2 linked regions of the Lonchura striata genome follow. The protein of the gene in region 2 interacts with the protein of the main gene of each other region in a pairwise test. Links are inferred from orthologs where the notes say so. Each region holds a gene or a part of one and is shown on either strand. Other genes may lie near its edges.

Evidence for each region. The genes of interacting proteins can lie anywhere in the genome.
Region 1: the proteins of MEOX2 (region 2) and SMAD3 interact in binary tests that used the Homo sapiens proteins (3 or more experiments, as listed by UniProt). The two-hybrid records come from large-scale screens. The link is inferred for Lonchura striata from reciprocal best matches to the Homo sapiens genes MEOX2 and SMAD3.

What each region holds. Positions count from the first base shown.
Region 1 is NC_134613.1:23,081,315-23,091,652, reverse strand, and holds the start of SMAD3 (mothers against decapentaplegic homolog 3), read right to left. Parts: upstream 4,794-10,338; 5' UTR 4,715-4,793; coding exon 4,509-4,714; intron 1-4,508. UniProt on the Homo sapiens protein: Receptor-regulated SMAD (R-SMAD) that is an intracellular signal transducer and transcriptional modulator activated by TGF-beta (transforming growth factor) and activin type 1 receptor kinases.
Region 2 is NC_134603.1:128,045,948-128,056,821, reverse strand, and holds the start of MEOX2 (homeobox protein MOX-2), read right to left. Parts: upstream 5,085-10,874; 5' UTR 4,633-5,084; coding exon 4,122-4,632; intron 1-4,121. UniProt on the Homo sapiens protein: Mesodermal transcription factor that plays a key role in somitogenesis and somitogenesis and limb muscle differentiation. Required during limb development for normal appendicular muscle formation and for the normal regulation of myogenic genes.

The DNA.
Region 1 (10,338 bases), on a different chromosome or scaffold from region 2:
GCGCTCCCAGACAAGGCCAGGAAATATTAAAGCTCCTCACACTCAGGGATAGAAAACTGAAAACAAAGTAGCTTGAAACTGGTATCGAAAAATACATAAATTTGCACATGGACACACAAAGCTGTGGCTGGTCCTTTGCTGCTTACTGCAGTCAGATGGGCAGCAGTCCCAAAAAAGAGTCTGGAATCAGAATATCCCAAGCTGGAAGAGACCCACAAGGAGCAAGTCCAGTGACCCCAAAATCACACCATAGTGTGAAACCACAACATCCTTCAGGGTCTTGCAAACAGCCTCTGCCACTTAATACCCTCACCGTTTTCCTCTTTTCCTGGTATCCCCTCAAACCTAAGAACACGATTAAGTTCTGTAAATATTGTGTGGTCAACTCCCAACACAACAGAAGCTGTGCTCACACCCAAGATGTTCCTGAAATAATTATGTTCCTTCTTTATTATCATTATGTATTAAGTTCCTTGTGTATTATCCCTGGTTTTCCCCACCAAAATGTAAATCATTTAAGGAACACCATATTCAGTGGCTTTTAAGAAGCAAATGTGCCATGTTTTCATTTTAACTGGTACATTCTGCCCTTATCAGATGAGTTCCACAAGAAATAACACCCACCTCTCTTCACAACTGTTTTCTAAATTAAAAAAAAAACCCACTACTTAAAAGAAGGTGATCTTTACATACAGGAATCCTGGTTCCCCTAAAACCACTGGTGATACCAAAACAAATAAATACAGTAATGAGTTCAAAAGAAAAATGTCCATATGAAAATATATTACAAAATATCAGGAGATTTATGTCTTTGTGTGTGTAGCACCACTAAAGCTCTTGAAACAAAGCATTTACTATCATAAAGCAAGACTACAGACACTGCACAGCTTGTAGAAATTACCGAGTGCCTGTCACATGGTCTGCTTTCTGCAGATCAGACCCTAAAAAAGTTGAGTTCAACACTCACCACACTTCATTTGCAGGGCAAATGCTGCTGGTTTCTCAGGTGCACAAAACGGCCTCTCTTCTGCTCAGAACAGTATTAGAAATTCAGGGGTTTTTGCAGGTTTGTATGAATGTCAGATGTAGACGCCACTCTGACCACATTTTTGGGTCTCTGAAGAGAACAGAGCCACCAAAAATCCTGCGAGCAGCTGGAGCAGATCATTGCCTGCTCACAGAGCAAGGCAGAGAGGCCACAAACACCCTCCTGCCTGTGCTGGGTAGGTGTTAATGGCACACTTGTGCCCAGGTTGGTCTGAAAAGTGATAAAAATGCTCATTCTGAAAGCTGGGCTTTCAAGATAACTGTGACAAAGGGTGCATTTTAATGAGCAGAAGAATGTGTCTTCTCAACGTTTATCACCCAATACAGGATGAAAAACCCTTTCTGCCAGGGAGACCCGACTCACTAGGTGAGCTCTGGCACTAAAGGCCACCAGCTCGGGCACAGAGGTTTAAAGAAAGGTCCTGCTGGGGCAGGATGGGCTTTGGCAGCTGTGTCCAGAGGAGCAGGGAAGGAAGATCCTCTAAAGGAGCCGTCCTGTGCAGCAGCAGCACCACCAGAAACCATCAGCTGGTTTGAGACCAGAGTTTTTCAGGTGGAAATGACTTCCTCCTCCAGCAGTAAAAACATGAAGGAAAAATCCTTCTTGCCAGAAGAGTTGCTGAAATCCTTGAAGGCCTCTCCAGCCTTTTACTATCTTCACAGGTTCTCCCAACAGAACACCTGGGGTATCTGTCACACCACCTCAGAAATTGAGCACTTGGAGAAGTAACACATGCTGAGCAAATAAACTAATCCCTGTTTACTAATCTGTCAGGAGATAGCATGTAGTACGTGCTTCCAGATCCCAGCAGATAAACATGACAGCAGGAATACATTTGTTATTCTAATTCCTTAGCCCTACAACAAAACAAATATATTTTCCTGTCCTTTCTTCAAACAATCCCACCTGATCAGTCCAGGAATTTGCTGTGTAGCCCTCATTCCCACAAGCAATGTTTCTGCAAAGCTCGAGCCCTTTTCCATGTAAAACTTGCTCTGTCTCATGGATACAATAGCTAATTTTGGACTTACCCTGCTCCTGCTGGGCCAGAGTCATCACTGGCATGGCTCCACTGTAATTCAGTCTACTGATGCATTACGGACAATGCACAACATGAGCTAATCCTTAATGATGCTTTTCCCCCCTTTCCCCCCTCCCCAGCATATCATTTGAGTAAATAGTAAAATGACATACGTAAAAATTATTAAATGAAAAAAACAAACAGCAAACGAAAACCACGCTAAAATCGTCTTGCAAACACTAATTTCAGATGACACAGTAATCAGATTCACAGATACATTAGGACAAGCAGTGCAGCCCAGAGGAAAAGGCACAGCTCTTAAAGTCACAAGGCCTGGTCAGAGCTGCAGCTCTGCACTGACTTCAGGGATTGTTCCATGCTCCCACCCCATTCCCCAACCTCTGACACACAGATGTTAACATCTCAGCACAGAAAAACCTAACCACGGGCATTTCTAAACAATAAAAAAGCAGATATGAAGTTGTGTTTAAAAATTAATGCCAAGGTATAAGGGGCTCCCACCAAAACAGGCTGATGCCTCCCCCATACCAAGGTTTAAGATCTGTAGGATCCAGGTTCAGTGTCATAAATTAACACAAAATGTTTTAATTTCTGCACAGATTTTCTTTAACAGATGAGGAACAGTCAGGACAATCTCTGAAGGTGAGTCTGCATGACTTGCGACATATGTTTGCGTTGTTATTTATTTTCAAACTTTACCTTTTTTCTTTTAATAAAGCATTGTGTTTGGCCCAACACTTTTCTTCCTTTAAATCATAAAATATCAAATCCTTCCTTATCTAAACCACTCTGTTAGGAGTCACAGAAGTTCCACGGGCCTTCATGCTCTGCTCCCTAACGGGTCAGCATCAGCCAGACACAATACCCAGGTCACAGCAGCAGGGCTGCTCCAGAAATTTTCTTCTTTTGAAATGGTAAATATTACAGAGAAGTGCTTTAAATGGTAAATATTTCAGGGAATTATCTACGTGGAAAGCACGCTGCTTACCAAGAACTTGAAAAATATAGATTTTAAGGCATTTGTATTGCGTGGTGGCTCTACAGGTTTTGATTTCTGCTTCAAGTAGAAGCCGGAGCAACTCTAACAAAGGCTGAGAGCTCTCATTTGCATTACCGGCCAAAATCTTGGCCAAAGTCATTCAGCACCAAAAAAGATAAGGAGGCTTTATTTTTCCTTTTAAAAAAACACTGCAGTTGTTGGAAGAAAATTTCAGGAGCTCCAAACATCCACATTTCTAAGCTACTTGCTTCACTTTTTCATGCAACAGATGCTGCTTTGTATCAGCTCCTGCATATTAAATCATTCTGACAAGCAAGAAAGCATACATTTGTTTGTGCCAGAGAGAAGCATGAATACACACACACACACAGATATCTTCTCACGCAGAAGCACACAATTATGCAGCATTCAAATATTTGGGATGAACTTTGGCCTTTGCTTAAAAAAAAAAAAATACTCTCAAACACAATCAGGAACAGACCCAGCAGTCATCTGGCTGAGCTCACAGAATTCAACAATCTGCAGCAATAAAACACCACTTGTGGGCAGCCATTTGAAAGTTACTTGGAAAATTGTTCTTAGATGGGATAGTTTTATACACGTCTTTTATGATTTATGATGGCCCTGTGGATCGAGTTCGGAATGGAGACTGAAAATAAAATCTATGTTCATTCAAAAAATGGAAGAAAAAAAATCAGTTATATTCACCCTGACATGTGTGGGGTTTTTTTTGGTTTTTTTTTTTTTTTCACTCCAAACGACCTCCTTCAGCTCTGCCATTTGCATTCCCGATTTAAAAAGTAACTCGAAAACATCAGCAGAGCAGGGCTCTAAATGACCCCTTCGGAGGAGTAAGGAAGAGGCCAAACAACCCAAACAAAACCGTTTTCCTAACGCGCTAATCACAAGAAAATCTAAATGCAACAGCACTTGAGAACAAGCTGAAACTTCTGACAATAAGAGTGGAACTGCTCCGCAGCGCTTCCAACTTTGTTTTTTTTTTTTTTCTTTTTTATGATCTCGGCTCGAGGCATATTTTCTCCACTACGTTTTCTCTCTCGTTACTACAGAGTAATTCAGTTCTGCAGGCAGAACGGGGTTTTTCTTAGCTCGGTAAGGAGCAGGCAGAGAGGACGGACACCGCGCCGAGCCCTGCCCGGCCGTGCCGGGGCCCGGGGGTCCCTGAGGGTCCCTCGGGGTCCCTCGGGGTCCCTGCGGGTCCCTCGGGGTCCCTCGGGGTCCCGGCGGGTCCCTCGGGGTCCCTCGGGGTCCCGGCGGGTCCCTCGGGGTCCCGGCGGGTCCCTGCGGGTCCCTCGGGGTCCCGGCGGGTCCCTCGGGGTCCCGGCGGGTCCCTCGGGGTCCCTCGGGGTCCCTGCGGGTCCCGCACGCCCCTCGAGCCGCGCCCCCCGCACCCATACCTGGGGATGGTGATGCACTTGGTGTTGATGTTCTGCGTGGTGATCGCCTTCTCCAGCTCGTCCAGCTGCCCCGTCTTCTTCAGCTTCTTCACCAGGCTCTTCACCGCCTTCTCGCACCATTTCTCCTCCTGCCCGTTCTGCTCGCCTTTCTTCCAGCCCAGGAGCCGCTTGACGATGGGAGGAGTGAAGGGCAGGATGGAGGACATGCTGGCTGTGCCGGCAGCGCCCGCCGCCGGCTCCGCGCTCTGCCCGCCGCCGGCTCCGCCGCCTCACACCCGCGGCCCGGCCCGGCCCCGCCGCTGCCTCAGCGCCGCGGGCCCGCGGCTCCAAACTTTGCCCGGAGTTCGCCGCCTCTCCCCGGCGGCGGCGGCAGCTCCCTCCTCCTCCCCCTCCTGCCCCGCTCTGTGTGCGCGGAGAGGCGCCCACTCCAGCTCATTCCCAGTCTGTCTCTCATGCAAATTGCCTGCTGGCCGCCCCGGCCCGGCTTCCACCCCCTCCTTCCCTCCCTCCCTCGGCGGCGTGTTTGGGAGGGAAGGAGGGCGGGAGGCTGCGCGCCTCCATCGCCGCCCGCGGAGGCCCCGGCTCCCTGAGGGGGACCGCGCTCCAGAAAAGCCCGGCAGCACGGCAGGGAGAGGTGCCCGGACAAACCCCACCGGAAAAGAAACACAGGCTTAAAGCCCCACAAGCGTAAAGCCCCACAAGTGTAAAGCCCGCTCAGGGAGGGGAAGGGGACAAGAGGCTCCACAGCGTGGCTGCAGCCCCTGCCACGGGCATTTCATCCGTGGAATCTGTTCCCACACAGATACCTGAACACAGCTCGGCCAGCCGTGCTCAGACAATTAGCTGCTTTTTGTTCCAACTCCTTTAATTTAATATTCCATTCCCTCATCTTTCCACCCCGAGCAACAGGTACCCGGATAATTTTTGCCCTGTATCAGACAAAAAGGACACCCTGGAGGTGTTTACCGCTGGAGCTGGTCAGAAATTCTCAGACGGAATATTTTTGTCAGAGGATGGCAATTTGTTCACATCTAGGTGTTTTGTAGAGATGCTTCGGTTTGGGCTGACTCAGGGTGGCATCCAGGTACATTTCCAGTTTCGAACTTTCCATCACTGAGCAGACTGGGTTGTCACACTCCCCGGTCTCAAGAAGCCCAAGTTCTAAAAAAACATATAATTATAAACTTTAGCTCCTCAAAGCAGCAGTTCTCTGTTAAACCACCCCAAAATGGTGCTGAGTGAGGAGCCTCAGAGGCACCTGCAGAGTCACCAGGTGCCTCCAACCAGGCTGGTTCCTTTTCTCAACTCCAGCTGCATCTCATCTCCCTGCAACAGCTGCCCAGGAGCAACAGGGTGAAAGTTTTGTGGGACTTGGCTCCCGAATTCGGAATTTTCAAGCTGAGCTATGCTTCCCAGTTCTCTCCATCCTATCAGAAGGGACGGTGGTGAGCCCGAATTTGGGAAGCCCGTGGGGCTGCTCGGCTGCTCCCAGACACGCAGGGTCTTGCCAACCCACGTTCTCATATTCCAGGATCCAGAGTAACCCAGTGGGGAGACTCCTCGAAAGCTGGCATCCCAAACCCCTGTGCCTGTGGATTCGGAGCAGCCAGCCATCCAGATTGCCTCGTGGCAACTCAGGAACCGATGGCATCACACAGCATCTGAGGCAACTGCCTTGCCTTTCACAGGCACTTCAAACACAGGCTTTATTCCAAATTGACAGTACCAATTTTTGAAATATTAATATTGGCTACAAATTAAATATGCCCTTATCTTTTTTTTTTTTTTCCCTTCAGCATTCTCATATTATTCCCCAACATGCATTCCCTGAGTGTCTTGAATTTTGGAGGCTCACCACTAAAATTTTGGACTGTTGCCCTGACCCAGTTTTTGGCTGCTTTGGTTGAAGTACAAAGATGTGGAACCCCTGCAGATTATCCCAACATCATTTGAGGAAATATCTCCTGAATACCTCTAAAGCACTGCAAAAAAATTACGGATACTATTTACACTAAAAGCAGGATGCCTCAATTACTAACTTGCTAGCACTGTTGACTTTCTGTATGTTTGTGTTTTTCTGAAAAGGCCAAGTTTCTGATAGTCTGTGATTATTTAAAGGTCTGAATTTTTATTTAAAAGTTGTTCACAACTTTAGAAAATGGCTTGAATATGTGGACCAAGTGAAACACAGATGGGGAAGTTAAATACATTTTTTAAATGCAGAAATACATTCTTACTACATTTTGAAATGGGGTGAAGTTAAATAATCTTTCTCTATTTTCTCAATTCTTGGCCCAGCACATTTTGCAAGCCCAGAGGCCGAAGGACCTGCCTCAGACCTGGTAAGTCCATATTACATCAGGGTGATCTCAGAGCAGATTTCTCTTCTGAGGACCAACATTTCTTTCTGGCTCTTTTGGATAGAAAACCACAGGCACTATTCCATGCTTTCTTCATCCAGAAAGATATGATAATACTCAAATCTCATCACTACACTCAGAATTCATGCTGTGACCTCGGTTCAGCAGAGCTTCTAGAATTTTCTGTCCATGTTCAAGGTCTGATCTTCACTCCTCACAGTCATATCACAAGTCATGGTCTGGGTACATTTGAATAAGGGGAAGGAGAGGAAGAGCTGAGTGGTTTGCTCGTGCTTGTAGAGTGATTTAGTGGCAAAAGGGTGAAGATAATTTGCTAAACACTAAACCAAACTGTGTCTCTCTTGCTTACAACCTCTAAATGAGGTGTAGGCAGCTCAACCACTGATCTAAACTCTGGGCCACAGCAGCACTGAAAACACTCCTGAGAACAAACAAACAGTTGGGCTTGGGATGTGGGATACATTTTTAAACTTAAGGCCATGACATTTAATGGAACAGCTTGTGTGCTTGCTGGGGTTACCTGTCAGAATGAACTGTTCTATGAAAATATGACTTTCTGAACCCCTAGACAGTAATCCTTTATTTCAGAGAGTTTTGGACACTCTCATAGTGGAAAAATTAACAGGAAAAGCAGGACCGTCCCAATTCTGCGTGGTCTGGATCCGACTGCTGGTTTACAAAATGTCTGACGTCTTGGAAGCCACCACTAAGCAGGAGAAGTTTATGCTTCTTTTTGTGATTGTGCTCATTTTTTGTGGAACAATTTGTTCTTTACTTTTAAACAGTCATTATCTTTGCCTGTGTTTGGAATTCTAGAGGTTCAGGGCCACAGTTTGCTCTCACTGAGAAATAAAGATATATGTAGTCTGCAATAATGGGAGGAAACCAAACACTTCAAGAAAAAAACCCAAACCCTTTACAGCTATTTTGCATTTCTTAACCTTTTAGACTAGAACCTTAAAAATATTGAAAAATAATATCTGCATACCTTGGGTTTTGATATGATTAATGAATAGGACCAGGATTAAAATTCTCCTTTCACAAAGATAAAAATCAGCTCTGCTTTAGGAACAATATAAAATTAGCATGAGAAACAAGAAGGTGTTCACTGGAGCTCAGCTGTGCATATATGTACCTTTATCAAAAATATTTTTAACAGCTTCAGAGACTGAAGAATTGTTCTGTGCTTTGCTCCATGTTCCCTCTATATCCTTTGAGTAGTGAGAAGGGATTTTTGGGGCGAGCAGGAAGGTGTTCAGGGCGAGCTGGAACAGGCAGGATGGAGGCAGCGTGGCCAGAGCACGCTGTTCCCTGCCTGGGCTTGGGCTCTGAGGGATCCTGGTGCCTGCTCCAACAGCTCCCAGCGTGCCACTGTGGCTGGGTTGAAAATCAGGGAGTGGTTGAGAAGCAGCTTCTGAGGTGCTGCCCCCGTTTCTACCTCACTGGCTGAAATATTAAATGTATTTCCTACCTGTACGTGGAATTTTACAATTCCCAGGTGGACAAGCTGGGAAGCTCATAGCAGACAGGATGGTGGCCTCGACTCTTCTTGTCCAGTGTTCTCCATGAAGGGTGAGATGGGCAGCACTGAAAATGAGGAATTTTAAATTGGGTTATCTTCTTTGCTTACCTTGTAAATAAGGGCTGTGGCATTTAACTCGGAACCTATGTCATGTATAATGTGCATAAACAAGGGAAAGTGTGGGAGCTTTCCCTGGTGAAGGTAACATATATATATATCTATATGTGTAGAACAGCATTTATATGCAAGCAAACCTCTCTTAATCACTCAGAACAAACCCACAGGAAAATAACTTCTGGCGTGAGTCATGAAAAAGCGAGGCCTTTGTAAGTTAATGTGTTCAGCAGTAATGTCAGCTCTGTGAAATACACAGCTCAGTCAAATCCTTACAGGGTACCACAGCTATTCTCCTCTGCAGATGAGAAAACACGCACGCACAATGAAAAGTTGTTTTGTTGGAAATTCCTGATGCTTCATACACACAAGCCAATTCACCTGCATGTTCCAAGAGACTCAGTGGTGCAAAAATCACACAACCACTTCTAGTCAAGCCAGAATCCTTTCTGTTACCACGGCAGCACCTCTTGCCTAAGGGAAAAATACAAGGCAGCAGCACGTCCAGAGTGATCCTTCTAAAACACTCTCCCAATTCCTGGCAGTTATTTGTGTAGGCGCTCCTGGACTGGAGCTGACCTCCCTGGAGAGCCATGGACAGGCCATTCCTGCACTCCAAAACCTCTCTGCTTCTGATTTACACCTCTGAGTAGCCTTCCCCAGATCCCCATGGCCCATCTGGGGCACAGGACAGAGATAATATGAAGAAGAACTAAAATTCTCCATTGCAAAAATGATTCCTTCGTTGTTTCCTTTATGAACCGTATGGGTCTCGGCAGAGAGAGAAAGGGCGGTGCTGAGGCTGGGGCAGGTGAGTGATCTCCCAGGAAATGTGAATGTTCCCCTGTGTGTCACAGTGAGATGTGAGGCACCGGGGCCCTGGGGGTGTTTGTGGTGTGCAGGGAGCTGGGGGGCCCTGGCTGCTCCCCTGGGTCGGGGCTGCTCGGGGCACTCGCAGCTGCACGGGAAGCGCCGAGCTTTGCTTCACTGGCATGGCACGTCCTGCTGGGTACAGCCTCAGCTCCCCTCACAAACACCTTCAGAAGGTGCAGAGGGAATCCATCCCAGCTCTGCTTCACTGGCATGGCACGTCCTGCAGGGCACGGCCTCAGCTCCCCTCACAAACACCTCCAGAGGGTACAGAGGGAATCCATCCCAGCTCTGATTTATCCTGCTGGGTACAGCCTCAGCTCCCCTCACAAACACCTTCAGAAGGTGCAGAGGGAATCCATCCCAGCTCTGCTTCACTGGCATGGCACGTCCTGCTGGGCATGGCCTCAGCTCCCCTCACAAACACCTCCAGAAGGTGCAGAGGGAATCCATCCCAGCTCTGATTTATCCTGCCGGGTACAGCCTCAGCTCCCCTCACAAACACCTCCAGAAGGTGCAGAGGGAATCCATCCCAGCTCTGATTTATCCTGCTGGGTACAGCCTCAGCTCCCCTCACAAACCCCTCCAGAGGGTACAGAGGGAATCCCAGCTCTGCTTCACTGGCATGGCACGTCCTGCTGGGTACAGCCTCAGCTCCCCTCACAAACACCTTCAGAAGGTGCAGAGGGAATCCATCCCAGCTCTGCTTCACTGGCATGGCACGTCCTGCTGGGCACGGCCTCAGCTCCCCTCACAAACACCTTCAGAAGGTGCAGAGGGAATCCATCCCAGCTCTGCTTCACTGGCATGGCACGTCCTGCTGGGTACAGCCTCAGCTCCCCTCACAAACACCTTCAGAAGGTGCAGAGGGAATCCATCCCAGCTCTGCTTCACTGGCATGGCACGTCCTGCTGGGTACAGCCTCAGCTCCCCTCACAAACAC
Region 2 (10,874 bases):
CAAACAAGTACATATGATTTATGATATTTAGGTATGTTTAAAATAAATTCCTTGGAGATACAACTTTTTGCTGCTTGCATGTTGAGAATAGGTAGGTTATAAAATATTACAACTTGGGGAGGGGGGGAAGTATTGCTTTTATTCATGTGATTTGTCAATAAACAAAACCCACCAGAACAGGTATTGAAACACTTGGGTGAACTGTTGAAACAGTGGATTCCTGAAATACTTTTCTAAATGCTACTATTGTAAATATATTCAAAAATATGAATAATTTTTATTACCTGCTGGCCTTTCCTTGGAATCCTATGCCACACAGAAAGCATTTTCCCATGGCAAAATTTGGGTTATTTTGTTTTTAAAAAGGCTTTTCCTGCCTGAGGGTGTTTAATTACATTAGACTTCAAAGGAATGCAATTTTCTTATATATTTATCTCTTACAATTTAATGTTTGAATAGCTGTATTGCTTAGAACTCCTTCAACTGTACTCAGCCTCCCCCTGGTCTTTTCAGCATAGTACAGCTGTTTTCTTTCGCCATAGCATTTTAGACTTCCTTAATGATACCAGATTCAATTGTTTTTTTCATATTTCTCAATAAATCTAAATAACACTTCCTATATAGGCATTAATATGCTTTTTTCCTGACTGAAGTCTTAAGAAAACTTGGACCTAAGTAACATAACTTAGGAAAATACAGAAGTAACTTTGCATCTTATGTGTTCTGCATCATCTGAGAATCAAAATCTACTTTATAATAAACAGAAATAAAATGGCCCTGAAACTCACAGGCAAGTAATGAGAATGGGAGGCATTAGAAAAATCCAAAATATTCCATATAGAACAACTCATACCACAAAATAACAAAGCACTTCAAGAATATGTTTTCTATACACTCAGCATGGTTTTCATCCGCACCTCATTAGCACACAGATAATTCTGACCATTAGGGCACTTTAAAATAAGCTATTTCATTTGCAACCAACCCTCCAATTTAGTATTGTCTTTCTGCTTGTATGGCCTTGTACATCCAAAGAGCTGAGTTACGGTGAGGATGCAGATGCCGTTATTCACAGCAAAATGTTAACATATAAAGATTTATGTGCACCTCTTCATAATTCACAGGCAACTTTACCAACCCACTTCTGGGCCTACGCAGGTTGAAAGGAATGTTCTGCAGATTATGAGAGAGCAACTACAAAACCTGGAGACACTGACAGCTGCAGCAAGCAGGGTTGATGACTACATAAACAGTATTTCCCAGTCCTTTGCAACGAGAACAGCTGAAAATTTCACCCTGTTCTGTAGCAGCCTTTTCAATATCTTCAAAGGGAACTTCCCAAACTGCTTAAAATCTGGGTTAGGGCTAAAGAAAACTGTAAGTCAGTTTATATAACTATCATGAGAGCACATTTCACCTTGTTTTCTCAATCCCAAATGAAACTGCAAAAGATTAGAAAAGAATATTTCTATATCCTCCCATTCCCTTGCAATATGTGAATTCCAGGGAAAAACACACAGCCTATCATTCTAAATTCTGTTTGCTCTCTGGATTTCTGTTTATAATTTTAAAATGTTGCACTCCCAACATCATAACAAATAAGTAAAATGGGGTGTCCCTTCTAGTAAATTTTCAGAGTAGCTATTCGGCTAAGAAACAGTCACTTGTTTGTAAGGTAAATGATACAAGGAATGATCATGTTTTACATTATTTAAACTATCTACAAACTCAGCTTTGTGATCTTAAATACCCAGAAACAAAAGCTAAGTAGTGGAAGAAAGGGGTAGCCTAAGGTTAATTCAGCTCTGAAATGCGGAACAGATTCAGTGCTCAAGAAAACGCTAAGCATTCTGTGGCTTTAAGTGATGTGCTTAAGAGGAAATGTATGTGTAAATAAGCAAGAGCATTAATAATTGTCTCAGAATGCTGGCACTGAAACTTAAAGCAGTCTCTTTCTCTCTTCACCTTTTAGTTATTTACTATTAGGATTTTTTACAAATGTCTATTGAAGAAGTTCCAAGTCTGATGAAGGCATGGAAGAAATTCTTTCAAGCACAGTCATTTGTCTTAAAAAAAAAGATTAATGAGAAATAAAGGTGATGATGTTTAATCAAATGAGGGGCAATTATGGATGACAAATATAGAAACACAGCAAATTAAAATAATTCTTGCTGCCATATATGAGAATAGCACTAAATATCTAGCACCAGAGTTCAGGACTAATAAAGGGGTGGGGTTAAATATTCAGTCCAAAACTCAGGCTTTTCCTGAAGAAAAACCAAACATATAGCAACTATGCAGCTGTTGTCAAAAGACATCTATTTTCAGTTTGAGAGATTCACAATTGTGTGAACGGTCGTATTTTTTTCTTAGCGGAAGGGAGAAGGAAATAGTTACCTGCCTTGATCTTCAGAAAGACTTAGAAAGTGAGGCTCGAAGTGCATTGCAAGATAAGCATAACCATGGCTAAAGGCTTGAACTCTTGTCCGCTAATCCAGTGGAAGGCTCCAGTCACTTCAGGGTAAGGTTTAGGACATTCCTCACTGGTGTTTTTTTTTTGTTGTTTTTTTTTTTGCATTGCAGAATGAAATAAACAGAAAGTGATTCGGATACTTCTCTGACAGTGAAAGGGACCAATTTCCTTTTTTCCTTTAGCTTTAAATAGACCAACAAATACAATAAATCCTTACACCAGCAGGCATCCAGTTATTTTCTCAGTTGTAACAGGGACTGTTCATACACCTCACAAAATCAGATAAATCTTTTTCTCATTGAAAGAAGACAAACACAAAGATTTTACCAGCAGTGTTTGAACTAAATACAGCTTTAAATGCATGAGTTTTTAGCAGCTACACCAGCTACGTAAGACAAAATGCAGATAAATACGTTCTGAATTACTGTAACTGTTAGTATTTGCTAATGTAATGGACAAGGAAGGAAGTGATGGTATTCTTGAGGGTTATTTTTTTAAATCCTTTTTGTTGCTTGCGCTTGGCTAAGCTTACAGCATTTTGAGTGAAAGGTTATGGTTTCAGTTGTGAACTTCATACATATCTGGAAAAGCCTTTCACTTTCTCTTCTGTGATAACAAATAATTTGCTACGCCAGCTCTTGAGTTTTCAATCTGTTGAGCCCTCTCTCTTTCAAGTGCCTCCTGCCTGTCTCACTATATTTTTGGTGACCCCTCGGTTCATGTGTGCCCTAATGGAAGTCCCATCAGTTGCGTTGCCTTCGCTGAGTGCCTTTTGTCAGATCAGGACTTTGAAAGGCTTTGCTATTTTAGAAAGCAGAGATAATGTCAAGGTTTTTTGCCCATTCATTGATGCCAAATCATCAGTCTGGAATGACTGTGGGTCTACATGTTTTTATGTAAAAATTACTGTGATTTTAGAAGGCAGACTGCTCCTTCATTTCCTCTGTCCCCGCCACCAGAAAACTGAAGTGAAGCAGCTTTCTGAAACTCCCAATCACCCGTTTGCTTCACAGAGTCCAAATTTTGCCCCTTCACGCTGAGGATTTCAGAGATCACTCAGATCCTACAGGGATCCTCAGATCCTACAGGGTAGCAAGGCATCAGCTCCTCTCCCGAATCCCCGCTTCCAAGGCAGAGCTTCCAAGCGTTGTGCAATCGCCTCGGAGCCGCAGTCAGCTCCGCGAAGGGGCGGAGGGGAAGGAGCGCGCTGGATTCTGAATTTTGAAGCAGAGGTGTCGTATCGGGCAGGGGGGAGGGGGCCGCGGGACCAGATGCTGAAAACCGCACCAAAACTACAAACGTTTCTCTCTGGCTGTAGGAAATTCTCCCCCCGCCGCCCCACCACCACCTTGATTTCATACTCTATCACGTGCTGAATTTTTTCTTTCTATTTCTCCCCCCGAAGCTTTAATAAAGTTTGCGTTAGTGATGGAGATCCCCAGAGCGCGTTGGAGGGAAGGAGCAACCCTGCAGCCGGGTGTCAGCCGGCGGCGAGAGCACGGCGGCGGCCGTGGCCGGGCGAGCCGAGCCGAGCCGAGCCGAGCCGAGCCGAGCCGAGCCGAGTGGCGGCAGGTCCGCGGGGCCCGACCGCGCCACTTCCCCGCCACCCGGGGATCCCGCCCCGGCTGGGGAACGCGCGAGTTTTTACCTGAGCTGTCGCTTTTCCTTTTGCCGGACCTCTTCTCTGTTTCCACCGGGGACAGAGCCTGCCTGCCATAGTCCCCTGGCGCACACGCTGCCCCCGTGGGGGTGTTGGTGCCCAGGCTGGAAGAGTTCGAACACAGGACAGGGGGGCTGCTGCCCAGCTCCGGGGGTCCTCCTGAGTCAGGCTGAAGGCAGAGGCTGTGCCTGGCCGCGGCGGGAGGAGACGACATCTGAGGAATGTGCCAGTTCGTCTGCAAAGCTTGGTGCTGCTGTTGCTGGTGGTGGTGATGGTGGTGATGGTGATGGTGATGGTGCCCCCTATGATGTTGGCTGGCAAACATGCCCTCCTCATTGGGGTATCCCGCTATTATGCAAGAGGAAGAAGAAGAAGACAGATCAGGGTAGGACATGTGGTCAGATCTTCCATGCAGTGCAAGAGAAGACTGGGAGAAAGGGTGCAAGCTCTGCGCAGTGGCATGGGGGCTGCGCAGGCAGCCAAAGAGTGTGTGATCCATGGCATGCAAGTCTCAGGTTCCAGGCAGGAGAGTTTAGGAAAGATCCAACTTCACCACCCTTTGTCAACTTTCACTGTAAACAGATCGGGGCTGGGATTTTTTTTTCCAAAACGGCACCGACAGGCTCTGCAGCAGGCAGCTGAGCTCAAATAATCCAGATCTTTAGCCCTAGTGGCCAGTCTCCGCTGCATAAACACTCGGACCTAGATGAGCCGTTCTCAGAGCTGCTCAGATGTCAAGAAGTGGGAGAGGTTGAAGCCAATAGAAGGTGGTCCCAGAGAACTGCTTGAAGGGGGAAACAGCTTCGAGAGGTTATAAATACAGTAGTGTGTAATGTGAGCTGGGGGCTGGCTCAGCAGCACAGCACTGACCACATGCAAACTCCCTCCAAAACGCCAGCGCCGTCCCCGCGCCGAGCCGCTCCGTCAGCGGGCGGCAGCGCTGCGCGCCCGCGCCCCGGGCGCCCGGGGCCTGGCGGGGGGGCGGCTCCGCGGGGGCGCAGCCCGCTCGTCCCTGCCCCCGCGGGCCGCGCCTCCCCGCGCGGCTGCCCGAGCCCCCCTCGCCGCGGCCGCACGGCCCCGCAGGCCATCACCGCCCCGTCGGGGCCGACGGGCCGCTCGGGGTCCCGCCGCCCCCGCGAGCGGCGGGCGAGGGAGCGCAGTAAAGACGTGAGGCGACGTGCGGGGGTGACTCTGGGGCGGGGGACGCGGGGGCCACCCCCGTTTCCCCGTTTCCCCGGGAGCTGAAGTGCTCTCGCCAGCGCCTCACCTGCGAGCCCAGGTGCGAGGGCGCCGGCGTGCGGGGCCGCCGGCTGCGCTCCCCCGCTCGGAAGGTGCCGGCGCGGGCCATCTTCTCCTCGCCCGCGCCCACCGCCCCGGCACTCGCCACGGGCCGCGGCGCTGCCCCGGCTGCCCTCCACAGCCTCACGCTGTGCCCCGGCATCGGCGGCTGGTTCTGCAACGAACCTACCGGCGCCCACCGTGCCAGCAAGGCTGGCTGCACAGAGAAGTTTCCCCTCTTGCCCTCTGCCCCTTCAAAACAAGAAGTCACATAACGTCTATTTGCTTTATCTTCATTTGCTTCGTTGCAAATGTCTTTAGTGAATTGGGGAATAACTTGGAAAGTTTGGGCCTGTCTTTTTATTTTTTTTTTCCTTTTTTAAAATCATTTTTTAACATGCGCGTAGTGGAATTACAGTAGCCACCAAGGCGTCTCTTAACTGGTTTAAATCAGGATAACGCATTAGTGATCAATGACCAAAGAGGTGCCCACTGCTCAGCGGTTTTATTCTCCAGCTCTTCCTACTCGATGTACCTTGCTCCTCCTTCCCCCCAAAACAAAACTATATTAAAAAAAAAAAAAGTAGAAAAGGGAAACCATTTCTCTCAAGTCTAAATTCTTGGGTCCATGTGCTAAAGATAAAATGAATTTCAATTGCTAGTGGAAAAAATCAGCAATTGTATGACTTTTGTAAGAGCTAGTTTCTTAAACGGAAATTGAGTCCTATTTTGTGGGAAATTAGTTTTGCAGACTTTCTTAAAAAAAAAAAATCTAAAACTTTTGTTCAGCAGCTGCTCCGCTTTTCACTGCAGTTTCAGACTGAGCTGGAACCTGCAGCAGTCTTTCGACGGTAAGATTTCCCCCCTTTTCTGACATCTAACTCTTTTTAATAACTGTCTTTAGATTTAACTGTAACATCGCGGTCTTTACAAAGAGAGCGGCGTCCAAAGCAGAAGTTGCTGCCTCTGTGCACCGTTCAAAACTTGATATTTCTTCAGAATAAAGGAAATATACAGTTACAACACTGATGAAATATTTTGTGCTTTTCATTGTGTTTATCGTTTCAATATGTGTTCTAATATTAGAAGAGAGGAATACAAAGAAATCTCGATGGCTGAGCCCCTCTTGAGTTTGGGAACACGCCGGGCTGGCAGCACAGGGGTGCTGCTGTCCCTCACAAACAGGAGCAATAACTGCGAGACAGCGACAGGCGCGGAGCGTCGCGCCCGCCGCGGCCCCGGCGGCGGCGGCCCGAGGGCTGCGGGGGCGGGCGGCGGCCCCAGGTGGGAGCGGGGGAGCGGCCCCGGGCACCGCACCGCTCCGCTCCGCACCGCACCGCACCGCACCGCTCCGCACCGCACCGCTGCCCTCCGCCGCTCTCCAACCTGCTGCTGTCCGCCACAGCTACGGGGGCGAGTCGCCGTCGTGGGGGCCGGGGCCGGAGGGGCTGGAATGCCAGCACCCCTCCTTCCAGGGCCGCTGCTGCCGCATCCCTCACACAGCCACAGCTGTGAAGAGGTCGGGGAAGTCCCGAAGCCAAGGCGGTGTAAAAATGCCTTCGTTCTAGGGAATGGCCATGCAGGATTTCTCGCACATGACCAAAAGAAAGGAAAAAAAAAAAAAAAAAAAAAAAAAGAAAGGAGTGAAGTGAAGCACAATGAAGAAAGTGAGAGGGTTCGAGAAAGAGGGAGAAAGATAAGGTTTCCAAGAGAAGTAAGAAACAAGCCAAATAAGACATTTTAGGGAGAGGCAGAAGAGATTCCAAAAGGTGAAGAGAAGAAAAGAAAGAATGCAATAGCAAAGCTATAATGGCACAGCTCCGTGTTTGTCAATAGCTTCATATCCAAATCTGTCTATTCAGGAATGTGCTTCCCTGGGCTTCTGAGTTTCCAAATAAGTTCATAGGTCCTATATCAAGTGTTCTTATTACTTCTTTAAAAACCAGTGTTAAGCACACATGAACTGGATATGCATTTCACTGCAGAGCTTTATGCTTTCATTTCAAACTATATAAGGAGAATGCAAAAATAGGCAATTAATGTGAAGGCAAACAAACAGCTTCAAACACTTTCTGAAATTATTCCAAAAGTTTCTGTGCAGTTACCAAATACCTATGGCTATATGATAGCATCCTTTGTAAAAAAATTATAACTTTTTAGTTATAACTTCAGTGTAAAGCTTCTCAGTAATAGCAGAATAATTACTGGAAAAAATTGTAAGCAGTTGCTGCCTCTCAATATTAATGATTGAATTCTTGTTTGCATTGTACCTTTTCAGAATGTGTGTTTAACCTACATGTGGTACAAAAGCATAACTTAAATCAATGCCAGCAAGTTTGCCCAAAGCTTATAAACATCAAGTGAAAAAAATAGAATGTTTTAAATATGTGAAAACAGTAAACTGTTTAACTCATAAAAACATCTGGAGCCAACACAGTTTGGAACATCCTTTATATTTTCATGTATGGGCTACTATTTGCATTCACTTTGTGTTTCTTGGTTTTGCTGGTGGGTCGCTTTTGGTTTTTTAACTTACCATTCATGGGGAAGGAGATCATGTAAAATTGACCTGAATGAACCAGTGTACAATTCCTCCTTTTCAGGACTTTTGTAGTCTTTCTGATTTTTTACGTTGGAGGCTGAAAGAACCACCTTCCTGAATATTTATCAGAATGTAAGTAGGATTCTTGTCAGTTCTTTCTAGTGTGTGGTTTGCATATTTGCAATATGCGTATTACAGTAAAATCAGATAGATAAGTCATATTTGGGGACCATTTGAATTATATAAGTTGTCATAACTTTGCTGAAGTCAGCAAAAGGATGGCAATTTACACAATTTAAGAATATTTTCATTACTGTCAAAGGGAAAGCTTACAAATATGAATTCAGTTTCTTTTAGCCAAAGTTTTTATTGTACCCAAGAGCCTACCAAATAAGAGGACAGAGTTCTATTCTACTGTAATTATGATCAGTTCGTATTTTTTCATGGCAATTTGGTCAATGCAGGCATCATTCAACCTTAGAGTCAATCCAGATTCACAACAGATGTATATTTATTTTCAGTCTTTTCTTTTTTTTCCGAATTTTTGCCAGTTTAACTCCCTCTGAAGCAATATAATTCGTTTCTCTTGGTACCTGTATGGCAATATAAACCCACAGATATAAGCAGTAATAAAGCCTGGGGATTATGCATTATTTCAGGGATGCTTGAATGCCTTAACTGAAAATCCTAGCAAAGAAAATGAATAATTGTTCACTGACTAGTCAAAAATACTGAATCTCTGACTAATTAAAATTGAAAATAATCACATTTACTATTCTAAACCTATGCTGCACCAGTATCTTTACAATACTTCATCATAGAAACATTTTTTTCTGATAAATTGCACTACCACAATTTTAAGATTGCATTTCTGTGGTATATTTCCATTTCACTCTCTATAGCGCTTACATGTGCCATGGTTTAACACTTATCAGACACAATTTTTGCTTTAAAGACAAATACAGATCTGTAAAAACTTTTAAGCCTGAATTAATATTTCCAGCTACTTCTCCCACATACATATGGCTTCTGTTCTTATTTTCATGATCTCCAAGCATTACAAATTTTAAAGTTATGCCAGCAATTTAGTATACTACAGAAAAGTTGTGCTGAGCCATGAGGCCCTCGCTGAAAATGATTTACAAGTTTGCATTACATCATTAAAAGTTATTTGAATTGCCAGCCCACTGTAACCAGTAAAATATCTTATGCTTCCTATTTAATTTAAATAAACTGATGAAATATTAAAATTCTGAATGCACTTGAGGCTTCACACCTGAACTATGCTGTTTCAGGAATGCTTTTAGAATTTGGGAAGCTATGCATTTCACATACTATGGGAAACTTGCATTTCACATTAGATACCCAAAAGTCCCAGAAGTCATATTCAAAACTTTGGAGTGTGTTTGTTTTAAATAAATAATTTATTTGAAAATTGAACAGTTTTGCACAATACATTTTTTTCCCATTCTGCTTGTTGCATTGTAATTAAACATTTTTTTAATTCTCTCTAGTATTATCTCCACTTAAGAATAGTTGAACTAGAAAACAGCTATGACTAGCTTTGTCGGGCACTTTAATAATACATATCTAAATTTGTATTTAGAAGTGTACTCAAAATGCATATGCAGGCAAGTCAATAATACCTGAAGAAGATGTTTTCCATTTTGTCGTCCCCAGATCTTGACAATTACACGCTATGCTCTGTCCATTTTCCTCATAAAATAAGAGAGGGAGAAAAAAAGGCTTGTGTTTTACACTTTAAGCATTTTATTGTTTGATACAATTCAGATTGTGGATTTTGATCTGTATGTGTATTTAAAAGACATTTCACTGGAGTTGAAAATACAGACACTATTGTGCATGGAAAAAAGGTGAAGGGCATTTTTATAATTCTTTATTTTTAACAATGCTTGCTTCTATCTATGCTGTAAAATTAATATTGTGTTGATTATACTTCAAGTCTGAGTCACCCAGAATAAAAAATACATATGATTGAAAACTTTGCGTATCACAGACTTAAGCTGTGACTTACATCGATTAACCGGGTAAATACGCAGTAGGCTTACAGTAACAAAACCGAAATAGAGACAAAAACATACCAAATATCTGAAATATTTATTGTCTCCTGGCTGACATTTCCAAGCCCTTGCAGGACCAGCAGCAGGGGGCATATTTCATAATTCTGCCTCCATCATTGGGAGAGTGATAAGTCACCAATTTTTGTCATCCCTTTTACACATTAGTGAGTACAATACTACTACAGTGTGTGCTTGTAGTAGTTCCTGATTTTCTTTGCTCTGAAGGGAGAAAAAGACGCATGGGCATGTATTTATGCTGCAAGAATAAATAATTACAAAATCTCTAGGTTTTAATAGCTGCTGGGATTATGTTATTTACTCTGCAGGTGTGTTTGCTATGATTTATAGTGTGATGAGCTCTAGACTTGGAGCAGAAACCCCTAACTAGCTAGTATTCAGAATAGAAAGATATTCACTGCCCCGCAGAGCTCAGGGTCTATTCATTCTGCCAGTTTCACATGGGAGTAATCTTGTGTTTTTACAGAGTCCTATTTGTCTTCATGTGATTTGCTTGACTAGAACCATTTTCAGGATTGCAACAGTAATTAATAATAGGTGTAAGAAACAAAGACCTAAAAATTGCTAATGCATAGCAGCATAATGCACCCCAAAATCTAATATCAGATAATGCTAACAACAGATACTTGATAGAAGAAATTAAATACAAAATCAATTTTGTTTGCAATTATTTTAGACTAAACTAAGGGTGTTTTTAGATGTAGATATTTTGTCTTGTGAAAGAATGAGAAGAATAAAAAAAAAGAACAAGCTAGACTTCCCTAAAAATATATGCCAAGAAGTGCTTAACTTGCAGATAAAGTTTCAAAGATTCAGAAAACT